Oreochromis niloticus: one gene and its partners. The protein of the gene in region 1 purifies or fractionates together with the protein of each later gene. This does not show direct contact. Links are inferred from orthologs where the notes say so. Each region holds a gene or a part of one and is shown on either strand. Other genes may lie near its edges.

Region 1 (8,334 bases):
CTCACATACCTGACGTGAACCAACTCCTGTTCTATTATACCAGTGTCTGTACTGCCATCTGCAAGAATGGATAAAAACCTGCTTTCTTGAATTTCCTTTTCAATCTGGTCTCTTGAAGTTTGTGCTATTGCTCCAATAAACTCTCTGCAAGCATGGTCATTGAGGTAAGTGGAACCAAGATCGAGGCCATTTGCTTTCTGAAGTTTGCAAAGACTGCTAAATTTTGCCAGTGGTAGTTCACTCTTTGCAACATAGTACGCTGCTCTAAACAGCTTTTTCAGGACTTCTTGTTGTGCTTGGTTTATTTTTAGTATGGTTTTTGCAATTGGTGTTTGTTCTGGGACAGATGCTGCAGACTGAGCACCAATGCATTTCTTGTGATGCAGAGATTTCTCATGAGTTCTGATGGGGTCTTTCCTAAAATTACTGGTCCCAGTAACAAAGGTGCTTGTCGACTCAGAAATCGAGGGAAACTCACGACACACCCGGCAGGACATCATGTTATTTAGCTCGTCATATTCCAGCCACAGAAATTCTTTTGTCCATGAAACCAAAAAACTGCGCTTTCTTTTTGCCTCGTAGTCTGATTTGTCGTAACTTTTCCGCTTTGTGGTCGGCCTTTCTTTGCCTGTCCCTTCTTCATCCTGACCTGTCTTTTTTGGCTCAGCAGAACTAAAATACCTGCGTAAATCCATCTGTCTTTACACATGCCAGTGATTTTTTTTTTTTAAATTCTCTGCGCAATCAACCTCTAGCACGTTTAAGCTTGCTGCGGGAGATTTCACTTGCCACGTTTGAAGAGTAAGCTAGTAAGTGATGTTGTGTCCTGTCTGACTATACCATATTGCACCACTAGAGGGTGTTGTCATCAAATAAGAGGAAAGTGCAGTCGGGAAACTGTAGAGTTAGCCGTCTTAACTATATTCTAACTGATAACTCGATGCGTCTCCGTTACCTCTACGATGTAAAGTTATGTGCTGCATTCATTAAAGAGCACTGTTCTTTGATGAGGACTGGTTTATTACCTGTCGCTGCTACAAATGATAACAGGATTGCCGAGGAATTGGTGCGCAATTAATCGTCACTCACCAATCAATACTGCCACTCTCTATACACAGTTTGCGCGATCGCAAAGTGAAACTGAAGGTAAAAAACAAGCGCAAATTCAAATGCGATTTCAATACGGCAGATATTGACAGAGGCTCATCGATGCCAATGACATAATTACTCAGCTACATTTGCGAAAGAAAGCAAAGGCATTGACATATATTTTCCCTTCCTATGATAGCCCGACGGGCAGGGCTGAGATAGATTTTGGTAGCCCGACTGGAAATATCGCTAGCCCCGGGACGTCGGGCTAGCGATTTTGCGAGCCCTGCAACCACTGATCCAACCACAGGCATTTCTGGATCTAACATTTGTTTTTGGTGCATTCACACATAAGTTCATGCTTTTGAAGTCAACATGTATGTGAGGGAGCAGCTACACTGATCAATACTGAACTCATAAGGGGAAAAATAGACAGCAGGCATTTTTGGCCGTTGGCTTGATTTTAGTTTCGGGTTTAATGAAAGTATGATTTGCAGAGATGACAGTTTATTCCCTCAACTTTTTCATCCATCCATTCCCTTCCGCTTCTCCTTTTCAGGGTCGCGGGGGGGCGCTGGAGCCTTTCCCAGTTGTCTTAGGGCAAGAGGTAGGGTACACCCTGGACAGGTCGGCAGTCTGTCGCTATCCCCACTCAACTTTCTATTACATCTATTGTTTTGGTGGATTAAAGAACGCTGTGTTAATGAGGACATTACTAAGAATGCAGGAGTCAAGCCATTTTACACAAACTAGACTAAACATGTTAGTAAAATTATTAAGATTTATCTGTGTTTTTGGTTGAATTCAGCAAAATTTTTCATTGTGGCTTGTTTACACTGGCAGATTTGTACAGTTCATCTTCTCTCCTGTGTTTCTGAAAGTGGGACATTACTTCCCCAGTATCTATTTTGTATTCTTTGTATTTCACTTGCACAGTATGTATTATGGAGGGTGACCAGTGCTGCCTTAATGGTTAGCGTGTTTGCCCCCCTGCTTCACAAAAATGGTCTTGGTTATTGGCAATCTCAAGCAGGATAACAGAATAATTAAATTATGGACATGACGTCCAACACTAGACCCATAGTGCTCTGAAAAGCGACGTGCCCTGCCTCCTAGGAGCAAATGCACTCCAAAACAAGTGAATCTATGCTAGAACAAAAGAAGAAGACCTTGTGAGGATGCTGAAGGAAACAGGTACAAATCTTTCATTGAAACAAATATGCCAACATAACCTGCATTCCTCAGCAAGGTCAGATTGCAGTCTACAAAAAAAGACATAGTGAGGACATGTCTTTGCCTAAGTCCTCTGGTTTATCCTTAATTACTGTTGTAAAGAATGAAGCTACAAGGACAATGCTTTCAGGCTGGCACAGGTCTAATGGTGATTTATAAGACTGAACATGAGTGCCAAGTGGTAATGTTAATACTGGAGTAACTGACTCGCTGTTACCATCATGAAAAGATAAGTCAGTCCACCACACAACACCCAGTGTTTATAACTCTGTCCCCTGAGCCATATAATAGTCCACACCCAGGAAAGGCCTGTGCACTGCACTAGAGCTGCATTTGGAAAAGAAGAGCACGTTACTATCCAGGAAATATTTACTAATATTAGCTATAAGAAAAATTCAGTTTTTAGCCTGACCCTTTCAATTAGTTTTCTTATTATTAGTAAGCTCTACAGTAAGCAAAGCAAACCCCTATGATCACTGACAGCACGTCACTGTCATTTTACAACACCCGACCAAGCTGCCTAGTGATGAAGAAAAGACAGCGTCACCGTAGAATAAGAGATGAAGACACACGCTGAGAAAGCTAGATAGCATTGTTACCTGGAGGGTATGAGAAACAACCATGGCCTACAGGCACGTCTACAGGACAGGTGTGACAGGTGGAAGCATTCAACTAATGTCATTCACTGTGGCCTCGGAAGCTACTTCAGGCATCTAATTGCCTGAAATAACCAGTGCGGTGTGTTAAGGAACGTCAGGCTGAGCAAACCGGTGTTCCAGAACACCGGCATCCTCTGTCACTACCAATTCTGTCGCCAGAATAACACAACACCACAGGATCAGTATTCTTATCCGCTCGTAGCATTCGTTTTATTTTAGCTAACAACTACCCAAAATCGTTACCTGTTAGCCGTTAGCTAACTCAAGCTGCACAACGACGTAAGGATGTGAAGTCCCACAGCCACACCCACAAATGATGTTGACATTTTTGACAGGTCACTAGTCATCCATCCTTACACATAACCTAAAAAATGACCACACAGTCACCGCTGCTAACACGACAGCTAGCCTCATTCCTCATTTCAACACTATCTAGACTGTTGGCTAAAATAGCCAGCGCTAGCCTGCTACTGGGTAAGGCTAAGCTAGGTCTTAAACAAAAGGTGTGATCATGTAATACACAGTGAAAAACAGAGGACCTATATCGCTAAGGGCATTTTTAGAAGCTATATATCCTTACCGAAGAGTAGGACCGACACAAGCTGTGTCGGTGCTTTCAATTTCCTGTAAAATCCGCTCGTGCTCCGTTATGCACTCCAGGGTTTCACTGTCCGCCATGATTGTTATGTGCATATTACGGCTATCACTGCAGCTACAGCGGAGCATAGGTCAGTGTGAGGTCCGGCCTGTGGGAGGCGCACTACGGTCGTCTTGACCTCGGCGATTGCGGCTTTGTTTCCGCATAGCCTGTGCCTGGTTCCTCAACCACATGGAAAACCACACGGGTTTTGACTGTTTATGATCTTATCATAAATACTGTATAGCGAGTGGTTTGCATGGTTAGCAGTAAAAAAACAGGAAAATAATTTGTACTGTCATTCAAACGGTACTTGCAATAATAAAGATGCCTGCTATCAAATGAGCTTTAGTGGCTTTTATTTGATTAATCTCAGTTCTGCTGTAGATACATTTTAAATAACAACATACAGAGGAGGTTATTTAAATCTTTATGGTGTGCAAGTTTTTTATTTGTTTGTTTGTTTTTGTTTTGTTACATCAAGATACAATTCTGGTTAAAGCCTGACAAATAATTCACACTGACGCACACTGACGTTAATAATACTAACCCTTTTTCACATTAAATGCTTCTGTAATTGAACTCACAGTTTAATCAAATCAAACGCAGTTTGCATGTGTCCGCTAGCTTCTAAGTGCGTTTTTTTTTCCTGCTCTTGGTATTGAGATAAACCAGCGTTTTAAATGTTGTAATTCAGCTAAATCAGTCCACCTTCAGTTGTGTTCAGCAGATGAATCTTGGGTGTGTCTTGGAGTTTACCTTAAGGTGGTTCCAAGAGGTAAGTCCACAGATTCCAACTCTGCAAAAATATTCCCAAAAGCCTTCTTTTCTTCTTCTTTGCCTTCTCCTTCGCTTTGACCAGGCGGGTCAGGTAAAGCAGCATAGATCCTGTCACTAGCCATTCTCTCTTAGTGAAGTATGTCTTAAGTATGAAGACTAAAAATCTGTACGTGTAAGAGAGGATATTTTGTGTGTGTGTGTGTGTGTGTGTGTGTGTGGAGTCGTGCAGGACACCTGCTGTGGTCAGCAGAAAAAAAGGGTGCAACAGGAAAAAGAGACCTTGTGATTCACTGAACTTTGAAGCCAACAAAGCTAATTTCAGCTGTTCTGTGTTAGTAACTGTGGCTTTTATTCACCTCTGAAAATTAAAAAGACAGTCATCAAGCTACAGTTGATGTTGCAGATACAGGGCCTGATTTCTTAGTTAGTTGTCACACTTGTATACTGATCAAAATGTAATATTATAAAGCTTGAGGAAATACAAAACTACAAAATGCAGTTTGATGATGATTTTAGTTGTTAAGGAAAAAAAATCTCTCCAAACCTCCCTGGCCTGATGTGACAAAGTCATTTTGCCTAATAATAACTGTTGTATTAATAATATAATTAGTAATAATATCCATGAGGGATAACCACTTGTTCAGTGACCTGTAAACCACAGAGCTCCCTTTTCTGTCAGTTTGTTCAGTCTGTTGTTGTCAGCAGCTCCACCAGCAGACTCTCCACAACTAACTGATAGAAAAACTTCTCCAATATCTGCTGTGCATGTTAAAGGATTTCAGTTTCTTTGGGAAAGATAGACTTCCAGTTCAGCCTGGCTTCAGAGTGCAGAGGTGGCAAAAGTACCTAAGGAGAAATACACAGACTTGATTCAACTTCTTTACTGAAGATTACTTAAGATTAAAAATGATGACATCTCATCTTTAAATCTGCAGTTTATCAAGTGTCACGAGCAGTCATTACCTTTGAATATAACCTCTCTTATTCCGCTCCTCTCATGTCTTTTCTTACATTTTCTCCATATATGAATGAAATTTGCTCTCATTTCTCTCCCTGGAAATCCAACATCTGGACCTTTAGCAACACACTTTGTGACAAACTGCACATGAACAGTTTGTGTGTTTGCTGATGTTTGTTGAGCTGATAGAAACATTGTACAAATGTCAAACATAACAAATGTTATGCCGTACAGAGACATTACAGCCTGGACTCATTCCTCTTCCGTAGCGCTAGCTAGAAGCTGGCTACAACATACCTGCACTTGTTCCAGCCCACTTTAACCACTGAGTATAAACACTAGACGATACCGCTGAGCCTAAAGTAACTAGCCTGTTTTGAAAATTTAAGGAGTAGAAAGTACTAATATTTGTGTTAAAATGCAGGGAGTAATAGTGAAAGGCTGTCAAAAAAAATAACTAGTAAGTAAGTATTTCCAGTAAAGTACAGATACCTGAAAATACCTGAGAAGTATTTGTACTTTGTTACTTTCTGACTCAGTCAATGTGGATGTCCAGGTACTTTTACTCCTCCACCACATTAATATTATGTCTCAACACAGACACAGTGTATGTGTCCTCTTCCCTCACAGTTCCTCTGGTTTTATTCACATTCAGATGATTTCTGTCAGGCCACTTCACAAAAAAATCCACTAGTGTTCTGTAGTTACCCTGGATGTCAATTATGATCAGGTGCAGTGTGACGTGGCTGGTAGGATAAGGTGGGAGGCTGGGCATGTGGACGCCCAATATCGCAGAATGGCATTTGGGATGTGAGCTGGAGCACTACTGACTAGATATAGTTTGTCTCACCTCCACAGGTACCAAGGGTTTTGGAACAAAAGTCTGGCAGATGGGACTCTGGATTTGTCCTTTTCTGGAGTATCCAATGGTGTTAGGTGCTGAGGGGATGCTTTCAGACCTCTGTCCTACACACGGGTTGACAGACTGTAACATTTGATCTGAGGCTGTGGACACTTGGGTAAAGAGAGCTCCCTGTTGGCCACACGACAGGTTTAGATGAAAGTCACCCTGAGATGCTAAAGGCTCTGGACACTGCCTTGGTTGACATACGTCTTTAATGATACGTGGAGGTCTGGCACAGTGCCTGTGGACTGGCAAACCAGGATGGTGATTCCCATTTTCAAAAAGGGGGACCGGAGAGTGAGCTCCAGTGGTCAGGGTATTACATTTGTTCCAGGAAAGGAGGTCAGTTGTTGAAACTTGGACCCAGAAGCAGCAAAGCAGGTTCTGTCCTGGCTGTCGAACCCTTGTGGGACATCTGGAGGGATAACAGGAGTTTGACCATCCAATCTATGCGTGTTTTGTGGATTTGGAGAAGATTTTCCTGGGGGTACCTGTGGGTGTTTTGGGGTCCAGCACACTGCTATGGGACATCAGGTCCCTGTAAAACTGAAGTGCAAAGTCCTGTTTTTGATTTTTCATGGACGGCATCTCAAGGAGCTTCCAGGGTGACGAGGGCGTCTGCTCTGAGAGTCTCAGAATAGCAACCTTGCTTGTTGCGGATGACATGGCTCGTTTGGCTTCATCAGAATGTGACCTTCAGTACTCACTGGAGTGGTTTGCAGCCTCACCTGAGCCTGGTTCTGCCAGACGTTTCTTCCTGTTAAAAGCAAGTTTTTCCTTCCCACTGTCGCCAAAGTGCCTGATCATAGGGGGCCATCAAACTGTTAAGGTTTTCTCTTTTCTCTCTGTATTGTTACAGGGTCTTTATCTTACATTATAAAGCCCCTTGAATGAAATTGAATTGAATTAAATTCTGTTGACTACAGCCTATTTAACAATATAAGCAAAGGTCTTGCACATTAAAAACAACCTAAAACAAACAAACAAACAAACAAACATCACTGTTTTGGCCGATTGTCCCTTCTTTGCACTGCACTTGCAGGAGAGCAGCATGACTCCTAACACTGTGCATGCTTTTTTCTTTTTTTTAACTAAACTTGACGTGAGTATTTACTGAACCACAGTCTGACAGTTTGTCTGTTTACCACATATAACGTAAAGTCCAAAAACTTGTCAGACTCGCACACCGTTTAATTAATGTGATGGCAGTTAAGTGTGGCACACATACACCACACCACCTCTCTCCACAAGCAGTGGCGCTCTGGAAACCATGTGACCAATAAGAAATGAAAAACAAACACATGCAGGTTACAGGTGTGACACCTGTTAGGTTAAAGATAAAGAGCCTGTGTTAGATGTTAAGCTAGTCATTCCTCCCTGTGCATACATGAATCATAGTTTCCCCATAAAAATATATTTTGAATGTTTGCATTTGTTCACTCCTCAAATAGTATGGTTATAATTTTAAGCTTGCTTCTGTGGGTGATTGCACTTGACTATGGAGGCTTAAAAAAGCATGTATTTGGCATTACACACTGTGGAAACAGTACTCAACACTTCATCACAGTGATAATGTAGTTGGGCAAAATGAACGTTCTCAAATACTAATGTTACCTAAAACTACACAGTGTAAATGTAAATGACTACTGCATTCTATACAAATACAAGGAAGTGTGTGTGTGTGTGTGTGTGTGTGTGTGTGTGTGTGTGTGTGTGTGTGTGTGAGAGAGAGAGAGAATATTGTAATGTTTAAATGTACTATTTGATTGCAATAATAAAACTCAGCTCAAATGATTATGGTGTGTGGATAAACACATGGTGGCACAAAAGGTTACCATCTCTTCTTAATATTGTGGGCAAGGCAACAGGCCTCGGTCAGCTTACACAAGAACTTTCTATTTCCTGCTATTCTTCTTGGAATTGATTGGCCCATTAGGGCCAATGACATCTTTACAAAAGCTACAACTATGAGTTTCCTTATTACCCAACCAAAAACAAGTACTGGGTCACTCTCTCTCTCTCTCTCTCTCTCTCACACACACACACACACACACACACACACACACACACACCA
Region 2 (8,240 bases), on another chromosome or scaffold:
GGTACAAAGTTTAGATTTTTACCACTTTCCTGATATTTAATCATTAAACAAGACAACCGTTGAATACTTGCATTGAATTCACTCCCCCACTGAAATATTCAGTCAAACAGACCAATAAAAATATTTTATTTGGCAATAAAAACCCAAACATATGAATAAAAATATATTCAGGTAGAAATCTGTAATGTTTTAGTCATCCAAGTATTTCTTGTACTGAGGATATGGTGAAGTGTTTTCAAATGTCCTTGCACCACCTGACCCCGCAGGCTGGGTGCAGTGCAAATGTGATGACCTGCAGAAATAAATAGCTAGCGAGTGCGAAACCTGACTCCTACAGATCAGATCAGCAGAGATCAGACGGCGTCTCCTGTTGTCTGAAGGGCAGCAGATGCAGACCTGAGGTTTGGGGGGGTGGGGGTACATCCCACTGCAGGAACCACAAATCAATAATATCCACTTCCAGAGGAGACAAAAAGTAGGTTTTGTAGACTAAGACAAAGCGGTTTCTGAATTCGAACCATAACTGCTAATATCACACTGACGTTCTTCCGCAAAACACTGCTGTCATAGTTTTCTAATGCAGCCCAGTTCAGTGAGGAATTTTGTTACAGCAGACAGAAAGACATGCTGTGAAACTGCAGAAGTAATCAGTGTGATATAAAGTAGGAGAATGTCATTCTTTAAATAGTCAAAATAGTTAAAATGACTATGCCATGCCTTATTGAACAAACAAGGATAAAATTTTATTGAACATCAAAAGTTAAAAAGTTTTAGTGCAACATCAAACTTATTCTGACTTTCTGGAAGTTTTCACCTCCTTATTCAAGAGAGGCAGGAATCAAGATGCTCGTTGATCTTTGACTCCTGGACCTTTGCTTGGCACACTGGACAACTGACCATCACTGCAAAGGAGGAGGAGGATGAAGACGAGGAGGAGGCAACACTGTGCAGTCCTGCTGAGGACTGCAGAGAAGCAGAAGAGGGTGTGGTGGTGGCACTGGTAGTTCTCTGCAGCACTGCTGGTGATTTTGCCTTTATTGATTCCTTCGATGCTGCTGAATCGCTGCCTAAGGTCTTCTGGAAGAAGTCAAAGATGCTGGCAGAGCTGCTGCGGTCATCCCACGCCCTCTTTCTCGGCGTCCGATTCCTACCCACAGCCGCTGATGTGCTGTCACTGTCAGAATTAGTAAAATCCTTGGACTGTACAGCTCTTGAAGTGCTACCCTGGGATCCAGTTGTAACTACAGATGAGACCTTGGAATGGTTTGTTATGTTAGGGCTGGGACTGGGTGTGCTGGGAGAGGAAGTCAAATGATTATTTTGTTGTTTTTGAAATCTAGAGGAGGCAGAAGCAGCATTTGTGGAAGACTTTGGTGATGTCAGTGAGTCTCTTTTGGTCTCTGACTTCCTGAGGCTTGTGCTATTAAAAAGGTCGTCAATGGAACTCTGTTTGCTCTTATCTCCTCCTTGGCTGCTACTACTGCTCTGGGATTTTGGCATTTTCACTGGTGAACCGTTTATGTTGACAAAGTGCGTCGTGTTGCCGACAGACCTCTTTACAGGTGGCTTTCTCCCCATGGAAGTGGATGGTCTGACTGAGGTAAAAGTGTTGGAAATCCCATTGGTCTTGTTAGAGTGAACAGGAGAGGAGAGACTTTTAGGCGGGGACGATGGCGTGAAGAACTTCTTTGGGGAGGGGACAGGGTTGGACAATGGTGTTTTCACAACAGGAAGTGGTGGCCTGGGAGATGGCGAGTAAGACGTTGAGTCCTGAGACTTCCCCCCAAGGATGAAGCCTTTCCCACTAAATGGGATGATGTCCCTTATATCCTGTGATCCAGAACCTGGGACAGGAAATGATACAATTTAGAGTCAACCATGCAATGTATTTAAATCCAGTAACTTAGTTCAAGTGGACCTGGTTTGCTTTTTCTTTAATTTCAGTTCTTATATTATATCTTTTTATATACACGACCAGAGTTTCTGACAATGAAGTCAGTGTATGTAAAGTGATCACTTCAGGTGCTCTAAATCAGGGGTGTCATACTCATTTCACACTGTGGACCACATAAAGTCCATTTTGACCTTAAGTGGGCCTAACCAGTGAAACTCCTCTTTCTGAAAGTGTAAAGAAGTTATTACTATTATTATTACTATTATTATTACTGTTATTATTATTATTACTATTATTATTATTAATTGTGTAGTAATTACACACTTAATGTTTCCAAAGCTGTCCAGTGGGTCAACCGAGAGTCTCTGAGGGGCCAATTCAGTAAATACCATTCTTTATATTTCCTGCATGTTTTGTTGCAGGGGGTCATTTGATTTAAATTGATTTTACATGCTCAAGTTACTCAGTGGAAACAATCTATTCACGGTTAAAAGCAGTCAGGCATCAAAGCATAACATGACTGTTGTTTTGAGGCTGTCACAAAAAATTAAGAACATTTTTCACTGATGTTTAAAATGTTTGAAATATGAACAACATTTTCTAGTTTGTTGGCACAATGTATTAAAGCTTAATACACAGGAGTGTACGGGCATGTTACCTGTAGTCGTACTTGAAGGCTTGCCACTTCCTGCGGCCTTCTTCTCTGAGGTCTTGCTGTTTTTTTGGCCTTTTTTGCCATATCCTTCAGGCTCCTTGATTTTGGTGTATGTGCCACCACATGTTCTCTGGTGATCCTCCCACCAAGGGTCCAGAGAAGAAGGAGCTCTATTCATGGCTCTCTTCACGTAGCCAAAGTAGGGTTTACGCTTCTGGCAGGGCCCATTACACCGCCACCAGTGCTGCCGGTACATATCAACCTCATCGTGGAAGCTGTGGTAGATCTGATGAAAGGAAGGAAAGATGGCAAGACATAAGTTTATGAAAGAGAGAGATTAGAGAAAATCCAAAATGAATTTAAATGTTTCTTGATTACTTTGCTGTACAATCATTGCACCCTGAACAGCAGTTCAAACAAATCATTAAAAGCCCCAAATTCCTATGACATTCAAGTCCATGATGATTATATGTAAACTTCTGAATACAACTGTACATTTGAAGGTTTGTATGTATATGTGGTCCACAAAACAGAATAAGTTTGAATATGTCTCAAGAACATATACTTACAGTAATCTTGGTCCCACTGGCTTTGTTGATCCGGTTCATGTGTTTGCAGAACTCAGGTCCGTGGCCATCTCTGTCCCGGTTATTTTGTGTCACAAACAGGAGCGCGTGAATCATTTCATGGAGAAGGGTCTGTGGCAACCAGTGAAAATAAACTGATTAATAAAATGAAAATTGTCCTCTTTTTTAAGGATTACAAGTTCTAATCTATCACACTGTCACGCATTCACTGCTGGGGTTAGGGAGGTAAAATGATAGTTGTATAAATTTCAGCCCCTACAACAAGCCCTTTCCCAGTGTTTCTGATGTGAATGGTGTTCAGGTCCACCTCACCTCTACCAGGTCTTTTCTGGGTCTAAGCTTCAGCAGAGGCTCACTCAGCCTGATTGAACACAGTCCACCTTGACCCTCATAAGAACAAACTCCAGCACACCTAAGAGAAGAAAGAGAGGAAAAGAGGAGCAGGACACATTACAGACATGCCAAACCAAATCCCATACAAAAATCAAAGGTGTTATTGTGTAGACAAGTTTGTGGGAGTTAAAAATAACAAAAACATGCATGACTTACAAGGTCATTCTCGAGCTCCACTTCACCTCCACACCGCTGAGTTTACCCCAGAAGAACATGTCATTGAACTCCAGAAACATGGCCCTGATGTCGGGGCTAGGGTCAAGCATCTCCCAGGACTCGTCCACAATGGACAGTGGCCTCTCAAGCTGGGGATTCGGTTTCCAGTAGGGAACAACATCGCTACCACCTCCAGCTACCTCCACTCTCCGTTTCTTATTGCTCTGCCCGAAACTATTATCTATAGTACCACTTGATGAAGATAATGAAGCCCGGTATTCCTGATCAAACTGCTCCTGCAGCCGAATAGCGAGCAGAAAATCCTCATCCATGACAAGAGAGGAAAGTTTTTTTGTTGTTTTGATGATATTTGTTGTTATGTTCTTTTTGGTTAGCGTGTTAGCGCCAACTAGCTAATGCAGTTTGTACAGGTCTCAAAAAAGCGGTAGCATCACGTCGTCTCAAAATGTAGTCTGACAAATTACCAATACGTGTCCAAATACTTTCTGTCATGAAATTTTCAGTAACATTTTCATATTACTAACCGTCAGACCAAAGCTAGCGCGAAGATCCGTGTATCAGGTCTGTCACAATAGGACAAAATAAATTCCGCTACGGGTTTCAAAGTAAAACAACTAAGTCAGTTTTAAACGACTAAGTAAGTTTTAAGTAAAAGCCTGAGTTCAATATGGCTATTTTCTTTTTTGTTTTGATGTATAAGTTTAAAATATCAAACTATCTGCATATGCGTTCTGTAGCATCCACTAATATCTTTTTTCAAAAATGGAACATTCTTTCGTTTTATAAAATGCTACATCCTGTTTAGTTTTGCGTAACTACCATAAACTTGATAGAATAGTCAAGCGAAGGTCTTGGCAATGGATTATGGGAACTGTAGTGTTGTTCGTTTCAAGTAGTTTCCACCAGTTAAATAAATAAAAGCAACACGGCTTTCTAATATAAATCATTAACATATGTTAAATTATATTAAAAATAAATATAAGACCCATTATGAACGACTAATTATCATTTAGATTTTTTAAAATTGTTTTTATTATTTTTTTGTATCCCGTGACGTTCCAGGGTGTCAACTTCCTGTTTAGACTACAAGCGGATATGAACCAAGGAGCCTCGATAAACTAGTTCTCTGTCCAGTTTTTTCTATATTTTCTCAACAATTTATCTCAATAAGTAAACAGTTACACGGCAAAAGATGTCGGAAACGGGGAACCGACTACGGAAGCTGCTCGAATCGCCCAATTTCGACCCGCAAAATTACGTCAAGCAGCTGTCACAGCAGTCCGATGGCGACAGGGATTTGCAGGAGCACCGACAAAAAATCCAAAACCTTGCGGACGAAACGGCTCAAAATCTGAAGAAAAATGTTTACAAGAACTACAGACAGTTCATCGAAACTGCCAAAGAGATTTCCTATCTGGAGAGCGAAATGTACCAGCTGAGCCACATCCTGACTGAACAGAAGAGCATCATGGAGAGTATCACTCAGGCCCTGCTGTCCACAGATAAGGATGAGACGTCTAAAGAGATGCAGGCAGCTTTTCCCAAGGAGACGGAGGAGGTGAAGCAGAGGACCCTCACCTCACTGTTGGAGAAAGTGGAAGGGGTTAAAAACATCATGGACACCCCAGGCAGGCACCTTATCTACAATGGGGACCTTGCAGAGTTTGATGTTGACAACATGTCCCCCATTCAGAAGGTGCATGCTTTCCTGATGAATGACTGTCTGCTGATTGCCACCTGGCTGCCTAACCGCCGTGGCACGGTTAAGTATAAATACAACGCTCTGTATGACCTGGAGAGCTTTGCTGTGGTTAACGTAAAAGACAACCCTCCGATGAAGGACATGTTCAAGATCCTGATGTTTCCAGACAGCCGCATCTTCCAGGCAGAGAACAGCAAAGTTAAGAAAGAGTGGTTGGAGATCCTAGATGAAACCAAGAAAAACAAAGTCTCCAAAGACAGGCACAAGAAGGAGGAGGAGGTCCCCACTTCTCCTGTTAGAGCTGAGGTATCCACCAATCCTTTTGATATGGATGACGATGAAGACACGGTTGATGGTGAGGAGAGCGTGAATCTTAGTCTTGAGTGGATCCAGGAGCTGCCAGAGGATCTGGACGTGTGCATTGCCCAGAGAGACTTCGAGGGTGCTGTTGACCTGCTGGACAAGCTCAACGAGTATCTCAGAGATCAGCCTGTCACCCCGAAGGTTAAAGAGCTTAGGGGGAAGGTGGATGAACGTGTGCGGCAGCTGACAGAGGTCCTGGTGTTTGAGTTGTCTCCAGATCGGTCACTTCGTGGCGGTCCTAAAGCAACCCGGCGGGCTGTTTCCCAGCTCATCAGACTAGGTCCTTTTATTTTTTTGTATTTTCCTCAATAATAACAAGCTTGCACACATCACCAAAACAAATAACACCTGTCTGCTTAGATCTCACTTTATATTCAGTGTATTCACAGTAAGGAGCCCACTCACAGGGTTTCCACAATTCACTGTTCATTATTCAGGGAGTTTAGCTCATTCTCTTCCATCATTTGCATGGACTTGACTTTCAAATTGCTTGTTGTCCGAGTTCGACCTTGGATGCAGTTAAAGTGTAATTTTCAGACAAATAAGCTGTGCTTGCGGTGATCTGTACGTATTCACTGTTTTTCTCTTCATCTTCAGTCAAGGTGAATATTCTCAAACTACTTAATTAAGAAAATAACTTTCCTATTCAGAGCACTAAGAGAACTAACCTCATGATAGTTTATATATAGTTTACTATTTATTTTTTGTCAGAATTGTTCTTGAATGGCCAAATGTTATAAAGCCTTAGAAATTTGTATTTTGCTTTGGTGCAGAACAGCTTCGAGTGGATCCATTTTTAATTATGCCTGAGCTTTGCAAACAGACTCCCACACACTGACTGATTTGCAAAAACATGTTTATTTGCAATTTTTCAGTACTTGACCTTTTTCGGGCAAAACATTATCCTTTAGCAGGAGTATGTAGGGTATAAACCTATTTTAAAACTCAATCAAAAGGAAAGAGAGAGACACTGAGGTAGGATCGCTTTGGCAATGTGAAAAAATCACAAAAGTTCATATTTCAGTTAACTATTAACATATAATACTCTCTTAATATCTCCCATAATTATTTTCTAAACATTTTGTCCCTTCACTCCCAGGTATTCTTTATATATTCAAGGAGAATTTGCCATCCACTTTACTCAAATTTAATTGACTTTTTTTTTTCCATTTAGCTTAATAGGTTTCAAGACATATACTAAAAAACATACCAGAATCAGCTGAGAAATAGCTACACATGTTGTACATTTGCAGTCATAAATATAAAGGCCCTCAGATTCCCATAATGCATCACAGTTTGCATGTATTTGCAAAAAGACAATGTAATTGCCATGAACATCTGTACTGTCTCATCACACAGTCATCTGTGTTTCAGGCCAGTCCACTAAAGCCTGTGAGCTGTTTCTGAAGAACCGCGCCGCTGCAGTGCAGACTGCTATACGGCAGCTTCGCATTGAAGGAGCCACGCTGCTCTACATCCACAAACTCTGCAACATATTCTTCACCAGCCTGCTGGAGACGGCCAAGGAATTTCAGATGGACTTTGCCGGGAACACAGGCTGCTATTCTGCCTTCGTGGTCTGGTCCAGATCAGCCATGAGGATGTTTGTGGACGCCTTCAGCAAGCAGGTAGTTAGAATGTCAGATGGTAAAACCCTAAAATGAGTAATAGGTACGTCCCCTATGATTAGAAGATATGTAACATCTATCATTTGTATATTCTTTATTGTTTATAGCCAAAAACATACTAAGCGACTGAGACACGATGTAATATTTGTGTGTTCCGGTGGTGTTTTTGGGTGTTAATGGTTTAAAATACGCAAATAACCAACAATGTGTCTAGGTATACAGAGGATAAGCTTCTGGATCTCAGGTGTATAAAAAATTTGAGTTCTTTTAGTAATAAAAAAAAAGCCATCTGAGAAGGGCAAAGAACTGAAAAGTATTGCTGCAACACAAGAGGATCTCTTAAATGGCAGCCAGAGCATGCAGCGTGCAAGTTTAAATTTATGGTTGTATAGTTTTCTTAATACAGTAAATTTTTTTATTTCCTCATTGCTAGGTGTTCGACAGTAAGGAGAGCCTGTCGACGGCAGCGGAGTGCGTGAAAGTGGCTAAAGAACACTGTCAGCAGCTCACCGAGATCGGCCTGGACCTGACTTTCACCCTGCAGTCCCTGCTGGTCAAAGACATCAAGGCAGCGCTCCAGAGCTACAAAGATATTATCATCGAGGCCACGAAACACAGAAACTCTGAGGAGATGTGGAGGAGGATGAACCTCATGACTCCTGAGGCTTTGGCTAAACTTAAGGTGGATCAGAATTATTTCTGTTTTGTCTCTTGGTTCTTATGGTTTCTCACTCAGTGTTTTGTTTTCTTCAATTGTTGATTAGTTTTTAACCAAGAACCTCCTAAATTGAGTAACAGAAACCAAACCTTTGATAATCCGGTATTAATCTGCTTAAATGAT
Region 3 (7,995 bases), on another chromosome or scaffold:
TAAATGAGTCAAAGAGGTCTCCGTAATACACCAGTCCTGCAGCTGACAGAATACTAACCATATGGTCAGAAATACAAAGACTGAAATATTTTATGAAAATAGCGAAGATAAAAGCAAAGGTAAATTTACAGGCAAATTAAATGTAAACAAGTTTTGGATAAGTACACACAAACACATGATTGACTGATATGATTTAAGAAGAAGAAGGAAGAGGTGGCAGGTACTTAAAAAAAATAAAGATGTGGAGAGTTTTCAGACCCTTTGAAATTGTTTCTGTTGATTTTTCTCTCAGTAGTTACAAAGTATTATTCTGTTCTGACCTCAAACATCTTTTCTTTCCACTTTTTGGGTCGCCCAGGCGGGATGAACCCAGTCTGCTTTTTTCGGTCAACCATACGCCGATCAATCTTCTCCTCCCGCTCAATGATACGAACTACTGACACCAGCATGGTGGGGTCACGACGAACTGTTACCATGGACCGCTGCAGTACCATCCATAATTGTTTAGCCAGCTCGTCTGACAGTCCCTGAACCTGGAAGAGAACAGAGAGAGCGAAAGCTTTTTGAGAGGCTTCTGTACAACTACTAATGTTGAACCAGGCTATATTCTTAATCACGGGAGTTTTTTGGTCTGGTTAAAAACAAAAAGAATGAATGCAGGTTTAAGGAACTGGTGTCACTTCATGAAGCCAGGTCAAACTTTTTTAATCATAAACTGTATTTTTTTAAGCACTTAGTATCTGCTAGTATCTAACAATCTGAGATTTTTATTCACTTTTTTCAGATGTAGCTCTTTTATGCCTTTTCAATGCCAAGTTTTCAAATGACAAAAGTACCTGTGCTGTGACCATGTGTGACTGACACTGACTTGTCCAATGAAATTCTTAAACAAGGCAGGTAATCTATGCCAGTTGACCAGGGGTGCACAAACTTGTAACCCAAGAGGAGAATTCCAAGCGCCAACTGGAACTCCGCTTTGCATGTATTCATTTCCTGTACAAGGAAGTGAATACATGCATATTATTTGCATGAACTTTAAGCACAATGTAATGGAGTTTGACCACAAAATGTATTCTAGCAGGCACGTGTGCGCAACCACACATGTAGTCTGAGCAAACTGTACTTATTTATGACGTTTTTTTGTATTTTGTGATGGATTTTATTCCAACAACATTTTTAGGGGGACGGCTGCCACTGGTCCAACTCTCTACATCAACTTTGCTATGTTCGCTTACATCTTCAAAGTAGATGGAAATGAGATTCATGTCACTGGTGTTCTTGCTGTCCATACGGTACTGCTCATACATGAGGTCATCACGTGAACACTCCAGCTCCATCAGCTTCCTGTGGGCCTGCAGCAGCTCTGCCTGTTCTATCAGCTGCTGTGTCTCTCCCACTATCTCTGGCACTATACACAAAGCAAAGGAAAAAGACACCCATGGCTGTAAAAACCAAGAGCAGATAAGGTTTCTATAGTAACGGGATGTTGTTGGCATCTTTTAGATTGAAGTTTTTAGGTTTAGCTAAACTTACCAGAGAAGATATTTTTTAGGTTTTCCACAGCAGCAGCCAACTGGCTGTGCTGAACTACAGCATCCTTGACGTCTTTTAGGTTTTCAATGGTGTTAATGCTCTGCCTCCAGTCTTTACTCACATCAGCCAATGAGCTCTGGATATCTTTGACATCTAGCAGAGCACTGTGCAGCTGGGTCAGTCCAGTCCGAACACCATCCAACTGGGACTGAATGGCTGCCTGAAGAACATCAAGGACCATCAGGAAACAGATTCATGTTCAGTATCATTGTTGAATTACTGTGACTTAATAACGTTGTGCTATATACAAATGCTTTGCTTTCTTGTTTACCGTGTATCCATTTACTGTGTAGATTAATAATTAATACAGTCGCTATAAAAAAAGCATACCTTTATCTTAGCTGTTATTAAATACAAATACTAGACAATGCTAAGAAAACAATAATAGTACACACAGATGAAACACATCACCTTGAGCCGCGCTTCCACTGACGCCTTTTTACGGGCCTCTCGTCTTCTGTATTGCTCCACTTTATCCAGCTGGTCTGACCTCTGCAGCATCCCTGCCACACGCTGCACTGCAGTGGCAACTGCCTCCCTGCTTGTTTCCTCCATTGTCCTGCTCAGGAAATAAGGTGTCAGGTGTGTCCAAAGGTTTCCACACAAGGACCTGCTTAAAGAGAAAAATATCGAAAGGGTTGATCTTTATGTAGTGCTTTTCTAAAACACATTTAACCATTTATTCAATGCAATGCTTTGCTTTACAAACTTTAGCACTCATGACTGCTTTAGATACCTTGATTAATGTGGACATGAAACCCTACGTGTATAAAGGCTAATTTACACTATAAAGCCCAACTCTAAAAACTGGCATAAATTTTCACACTGTCTGTGAAGCTGGATTTAAGAAGTAAGTTTTTTAGAACATGTTTAGCACCATCTTGTGCCAGTAATTCAATTCAACTTAATTCAATTTGATCTACAACATGCTCTTATCACTGTGATAAAATTTTGAACGCTGTAGGCCATAAGAAGATCATTTGTATCCTTCTCTAATTCTGTTAGAGAAGGATACTGTGCTGTGATGAGCTCTGAAACCTGACTGAAACTCTTCAAATAAGCCATTCCTCTGCAGATGATCAGTTAGCTGTTTAACAACTACTTTTTCAAGGATTTGCGAGATAAAAGGAAGGTAGTCAGCCACTGGTGTTGGGGACTGTATGCTGCGGCTCTAAGATGGTATTCCACTTGTGAAGGCACATACATCTTTCCAAGGTCCTGTTTATAAAACCAATAATGCTGTGCAATTATTGAAGGTAATGTCTAATCCTGACACATCACATGCACGTGAATGTCACGTCCATTATTTTCTTCCGGTTATCCCATTCGGACGAAGGGGCGCTGGAGCTGTCACAGAGCAAGAAGCGGACTAAACCCTGGGCAGCTCTGTCGCAGGGACAGAAAGTCATTTCCAAATGACTCTGGCACAGCCTTTGTCTTCTTGACAGTACTTCATTGGCAGACACAGTTAAATGGCTTCTGTGGTCCTAATGCCCCGCGTAACGTTAATGCAACACAATAAAAGCTAGTGTTGTTTTTGCACTGACAGCTATAGCACCACATTCGAACACAGTCGTGACTGGATCAAGTATATAAATCAACTCTAACGTTGAAATGAAAACAGATGATCCAACGTAGTAAATGCATGCTAAGCTAACAACAGGCGAAAACGACCCAGTGTCAGCGACAATAAAACAAGCTAGTTCTTCAGACCCGGAAACTTACCTCACTTAAGGCAAACCCAGAGGGAAGACAACAACCATATCTACCAGTATTAAATATATTATTATTTCAACTAACACAGCCTTTGTTGTCGTTGTTCAACTTCCTGCTTCCAGCAGCGCAGGAGACGCCTGCTGCTTCTTCTTCTTGGTGTTTATTGGCTGTTGACAAACAACGAATTGGTGAATACCGCCACCAACTGGTTTGGAGTGTGGATCGGAATGTCATACAAATGCGTTTGTCTAAGACAATTAAATATGGCCTGGTAACTTTTGCTTCCTCATTTATTTCTAAGTAAATCATTTAAATCTAGTTTAAGTTTAAATCAATTCAGGCTTTCAATCAGTTGTCTTGCTTCTTCCTCATACAGTGTAATATAACATTCTCTATTGTCTCATCAATACTCACATTTTTCATTGCAATGTTTCCCTAAAATGAATAGTGTGCCGTTTAGCCCAGTGTGCCGAAATCTGAGATGTGATGATTGTTTTTTTTCTCCTCCATCCTGTAGTTTTCATTTCTCCAGTTTTCTTTGGATTTTATAAATCCACCATCCTGTCCTTTCTTTCTCCCACTGTTTTTGTCATCTCTCCTTCATTTTGTGTTTGTGTTGTATTTTTTTATTTTTTATTTTATTAAAGCTGAACAAAAACAGTTTTTGGTTGCACATTTTTTATGTGTAATTCAATCCAAGTAGAGCACGATTTAAAAGCACAACTTTGACGTGCTGTACAAGGCAACTAAACACACCACAACAAATCAATGAAAAAAGTAGGAAACACATTTTCTGAAGAAACTGCAGTGTGAATGCTGATAGCTGAATGTTTTGAGCTGAAATGAAATAACTGCTGAATGTTAAGTTAAAAATGTTGAATGAGCTGAAAAATGCGGAATTTTTCACCTGAAAAGAAAAGTGCAGAACTGTTGAGAGCTGACAACCACAAAGAAGTAGCTGAACATGTTTAAGATGTAAATTAAAAAGCTGAGAAATGACAAAAGAAAATTTAGAGTCAGAAAACATCTGAATGAATATTAAAAGTTCATATTCTTTGAATCACTGAATAACTGAAATGTGGGAGAATTCACTACAGACAGGTAAATGCTGTAAGTTTTAACCATTCAGTCAGAAAAGATGATTCTAAAAGTCATCAAGTGACTCCAGCAGCCCAGATCTGAACCACCTGTGTGCAGAAGAGAAATCCACCAATGAACAATAAGCTTGAATTTAACGGGCCAATCAGAATGCTCTATCCAGCTGGCATGCACTAACCCAGGGGTGGGCAACTCCAGGCCTTGAGGGCCGGTGTCCTGCAGGTTTTAGATCTCACCCTGGGTCAACACAGCTGAATCAAATGATTAGTTCATTACCAGGCCTCTGGAGAACTACAAGATATCTTGAGGAAGTCATTTAGCCATTTGAATCAGCTGTGTTGGATCAAGGACACATCTAAAACCTGTAGGACACCGGCCCTCGAGGCCTGGAGTTGACTAACATTGCACTAACTACTGACATACTATTATTCTGTGGCAAAACCCTGTCAAATCTGCCTTACTGCACCTGTTGAAAAACTGCATCTAAATCCAAGACCGTAACTCCTATCAAAACAGCCTTTGAACCGTGAGGATCCCGACGACTAGTTCTACACAACAGTGTGTTCTTTATGTTCCTGCTGTCAAAGAACGTGGTCACAGAAGTGATTTAAAAACGTGAGGTCTTTTCTGCTGTTGAGACAAACTCCTGAGTGAAAATAAAATATTTTTCTATGGGTTAGAAGGTTATCTCTCTACTTGGATCCACACAGTTCAAAAAGTTTACATCTCTGACCTTTGAAAGACACACTGTTGGAAAGAGAACAACAATGGCTATGTTTTGAGGTTTAAATGATGGCTGTGGAGCAAACACTGCGCACACAGCGGCTGTTGAAACAGAAGTCTTTAAGAGTAATCTTGGGAGATTGACAAACAGAGCTTATTAAGGAGGCAGGTGTGAGCCTGGTTGCTATCCGGTCTTTAAGTGATGACGTGGTGAACCCTACTTCAGAGCCCGAACGACTCTGCGTTTATTAAGGCTGTTGTGTTCTTAACAAGTTTTAATGCTTTGTATCTTGCTCTATTTAATCTCCACGAGCCCCTAAAAACAGTAAGGCAACAGTAAGTATCACTGTCGGCCTCTCTCGATTTTTATTACCACTGTTCATCATAAAGCTCCGTTTTTAAAACCACAGTCCAGCAGTTTGCTGACATCACCAGTCAGGCTAGAGCTGATATCACCAGAAAGGGCAGATGAGAGCGGCTTGCCCCGGCTGGGCAGCCAGAACAGCACCACCAAGGCCGGAGATTGAGCAATACTGAAAGAGCATTTGGGAGAAGGACACAGTCCATAACAGCAATGCTCAGTGGCTAGTGAATTTTAGATCAGACCACAGCAACCTCCCTGAATAGGGTCCAGTAACCATTACAGTGGCAGACATCCAAGAGTAGGCCTCCAGTATGAAGAGTTGGACATCACCAGGCCATGACATGGTTCACGGCTTAAGAAGGTTGCACTCCATAAGCATCTGGCAGCACAAATGAACCATCTGCTAGTCGGCGAAAGACACCCGAAATGAGTCATGACTAACCGACAGCCGGATGGTGCTGATCCTCAGGGACTCCAGGAGGGGTCAGTCCCATCCAATAACCTGCCTCAGTATCACATGGAAGCTCTTGTCGGGCATCATAGCAACTAAGATGAACAGGCACCACCACCACTATATCCTGTTGGTTAGCTGAACTGGCAAGAATACCAGAGGCGTAGACGGACAAAATGGTGGCTAACCAACATCACCTGTCTGGTGATGTCACCTAACCAACAGGATATAGTGGTGGTGGACAAGCGGAAGAAGACGCTACAGTTATCGATGTAGTGATACTAAGTGACAGCAACATCAGGAAGAATGAACACGAGAAGCTGGAGAAGTACCAAGGGCTCAAAGAGGAGCTTGAGAAGATGAGGAAGGTGAGCACTAGATGCAGTGCATCCCAAACTAGGCAGGGAGTTGTAATTAGGGGTCCCATCTTAGTTTTATGGAGTGCCGTGTCATTAATTTACATGTGGTCATTTGCAGTGTATAGATCCCCTGTTAAGTGTGGTGACCAACCATCCTCTTTTCCCCTGACATGTCCACTTTTCACGTTCTCTCCAGGGCGTCCGGGGGGATTTTCGAGATTGATGAAAATGTCCGGGTTTTCCTACAGAGGACCCATATGTGTGACGTCATCCTCGAGCTGCAGCTTTGTGAGTTGTTGTTCTGCCACTGTGCTCACAGACGGGACAGACAGCGCGCAGCAGCGGGCCTGGTGATGTTTAAAAGATGCCAAAGCACAAATGCAGCTTTTCAGACAAATTGCAAAATTTCCCTCATACCGTCCCTGTACTGGTAATTTGTCTTATACAGATGAGCCCTTATTTCAGTACCATTATTTAATTTCAGAGGTTTTTAAGTTATTTTTTTTCCCTTGTTGACTTGTAAAAGCCTATGTGACATTTTTGTTTCACCATTCATTAACCGCACAGAGAAGGCATCGTTTAAATATGTTAAAATTTTCTTTAAGCAAACAGTATTATTAAAGTTCTTCATGACTGGGCCAAGTGTCCTCTTTTTTGGAAATCAAAATATGGTCACCCTACTTTATACTGGTGTGGACAGATTTGTCCTCCCTGGGAACACAGCTCGCCACTGTCACGGTCTGCGGGAGGCAGACCGAATGGAGAATGAGTGGAGGACTCAGGTGTGGACACTGACGAGGAGACGGAATTACTTTAACGAAAAACCAGCCTTTATTTGGGGCTGATAAGAGAGCATACAAAAATTAAGTAAGCAAACTGGTAGAGCGCAGACTAAGAAAACTATGACTAAACTATTACGAGACTGGAGAGACTGTGAAAGCTATGAACGCTGAAAATACTCTAAAACATGAAGGGACACTATGAAGTCTAAACCTAGACATGGGGAAGGGAACACAGACGACACCACACTGAACACAGGAAGACTGAGGGCTTAAATACACACACGAGGTGATCGGGGGAAGTGGAGACACATGAGGACAACAGCTGACTGGAATGAACATAATGACGCCTCAGTGGAAGTGAAAGCTAAGTACATAGAACATGGAAACAAGACTTCCAAATAAACAGGAAACATTACAAGATGCAGACATGACATAAATTTAACCAGCACCACAGAGACATAAAGCATGATTTTCAGGGCCAACTCTTGATACTTGAACCCACATAACACAACCAGGAGTTTTTGCAAATCGCTCTAACACATTAATTTGGCAGTCACAAATTAATGAAGCAGGGAGACTTAGAACAGGGGAGAAGACAAAAGGATCTGCAAAGCAAAGGACTAACACAGCAATCTAGGCATCGTAGCACTTAATAAGGTAAACTAAACTCAAAGCAGAACACGAATAGAAAACAAAATACAATAAAACTCAAACACTGGGTCACACGACCCAGTACCGTGACAGCCCTCCCTCAGTCTTTGTCTAAAATCCTCCTTTTAAAGTGTTAGTTGTGAAATAAAGTTTTGTGTCTCATCTTTTGTGGTTTTATTTTCAGCTCTGACTTGTGAATATTACATCCTGTTGTCAAATATAGGTTACTTAGATTAGATGAAACTTTATTTATCCCTT

The links. The genes of interacting proteins can lie anywhere in the genome.
Region 2: the proteins of exoc6 (region 1) and exoc8 purify together in Homo sapiens (affinity purification with mass spectrometry; 4 studies listed by BioGRID and IntAct, counting the BioPlex papers as one, with this or other methods). This does not show direct contact. The link is inferred for Oreochromis niloticus from reciprocal best matches to the Homo sapiens genes EXOC6 and EXOC8.
Region 3: the proteins of exoc6 (region 1) and exoc3 purify together in Homo sapiens (affinity purification with mass spectrometry; 6 studies listed by BioGRID and IntAct, counting the BioPlex papers as one, with this or other methods). This does not show direct contact. The link is inferred for Oreochromis niloticus from reciprocal best matches to the Homo sapiens genes EXOC6 and EXOC3.

Annotation. Positions count from the first base shown.
Region 1 is NC_031973.2:28,333,484-28,341,817, forward strand, and holds the start of exoc6 (exocyst complex component 6), read right to left. Parts: upstream 3,750-8,334; 5' UTR 3,708-3,749; coding exon 3,562-3,707; intron 3,551-3,561; exon of another isoform or gene 2,540-3,550; intron 1,759-2,539; exon of another isoform or gene 696-1,758; coding exon of another isoform or gene 1-695. Other genes in the region: zinc finger protein 862-like, read right to left, coding at 1-695. UniProt on the Homo sapiens protein: Component of the exocyst complex involved in the docking of exocytic vesicles with fusion sites on the plasma membrane.
Region 2 is NC_031980.2:18,419,113-18,427,352, reverse strand, and holds the start of exoc8 (exocyst complex component 8), read left to right. Parts: upstream 1-4,760; 5' UTR 4,761-4,898; coding exon 4,899-6,051; intron 6,052-7,145; coding exon 7,146-7,399; intron 7,400-7,832; coding exon 7,833-8,081; intron 8,082-8,240. Other genes in the region: DNA-dependent metalloprotease SPRTN, read right to left, coding at 823-1,844, 2,553-2,835, 3,119-3,247, 3,449-3,548, 3,686-4,017. UniProt on the Homo sapiens protein: Component of the exocyst complex involved in the docking of exocytic vesicles with fusion sites on the plasma membrane.
Region 3 is NC_031982.2:272,274-280,268, reverse strand, and holds the start of exoc3 (exocyst complex component 3), read right to left. Parts: upstream 3,481-7,995; 5' UTR 3,319-3,480; intron 2,207-3,318; 5' UTR 2,149-2,206; coding exon 2,005-2,148; intron 1,754-2,004; coding exon 1,534-1,753; intron 1,409-1,533; coding exon 1,236-1,408; intron 534-1,235; coding exon 321-533; intron 1-320. UniProt on the Homo sapiens protein: Component of the exocyst complex involved in the docking of exocytic vesicles with fusion sites on the plasma membrane.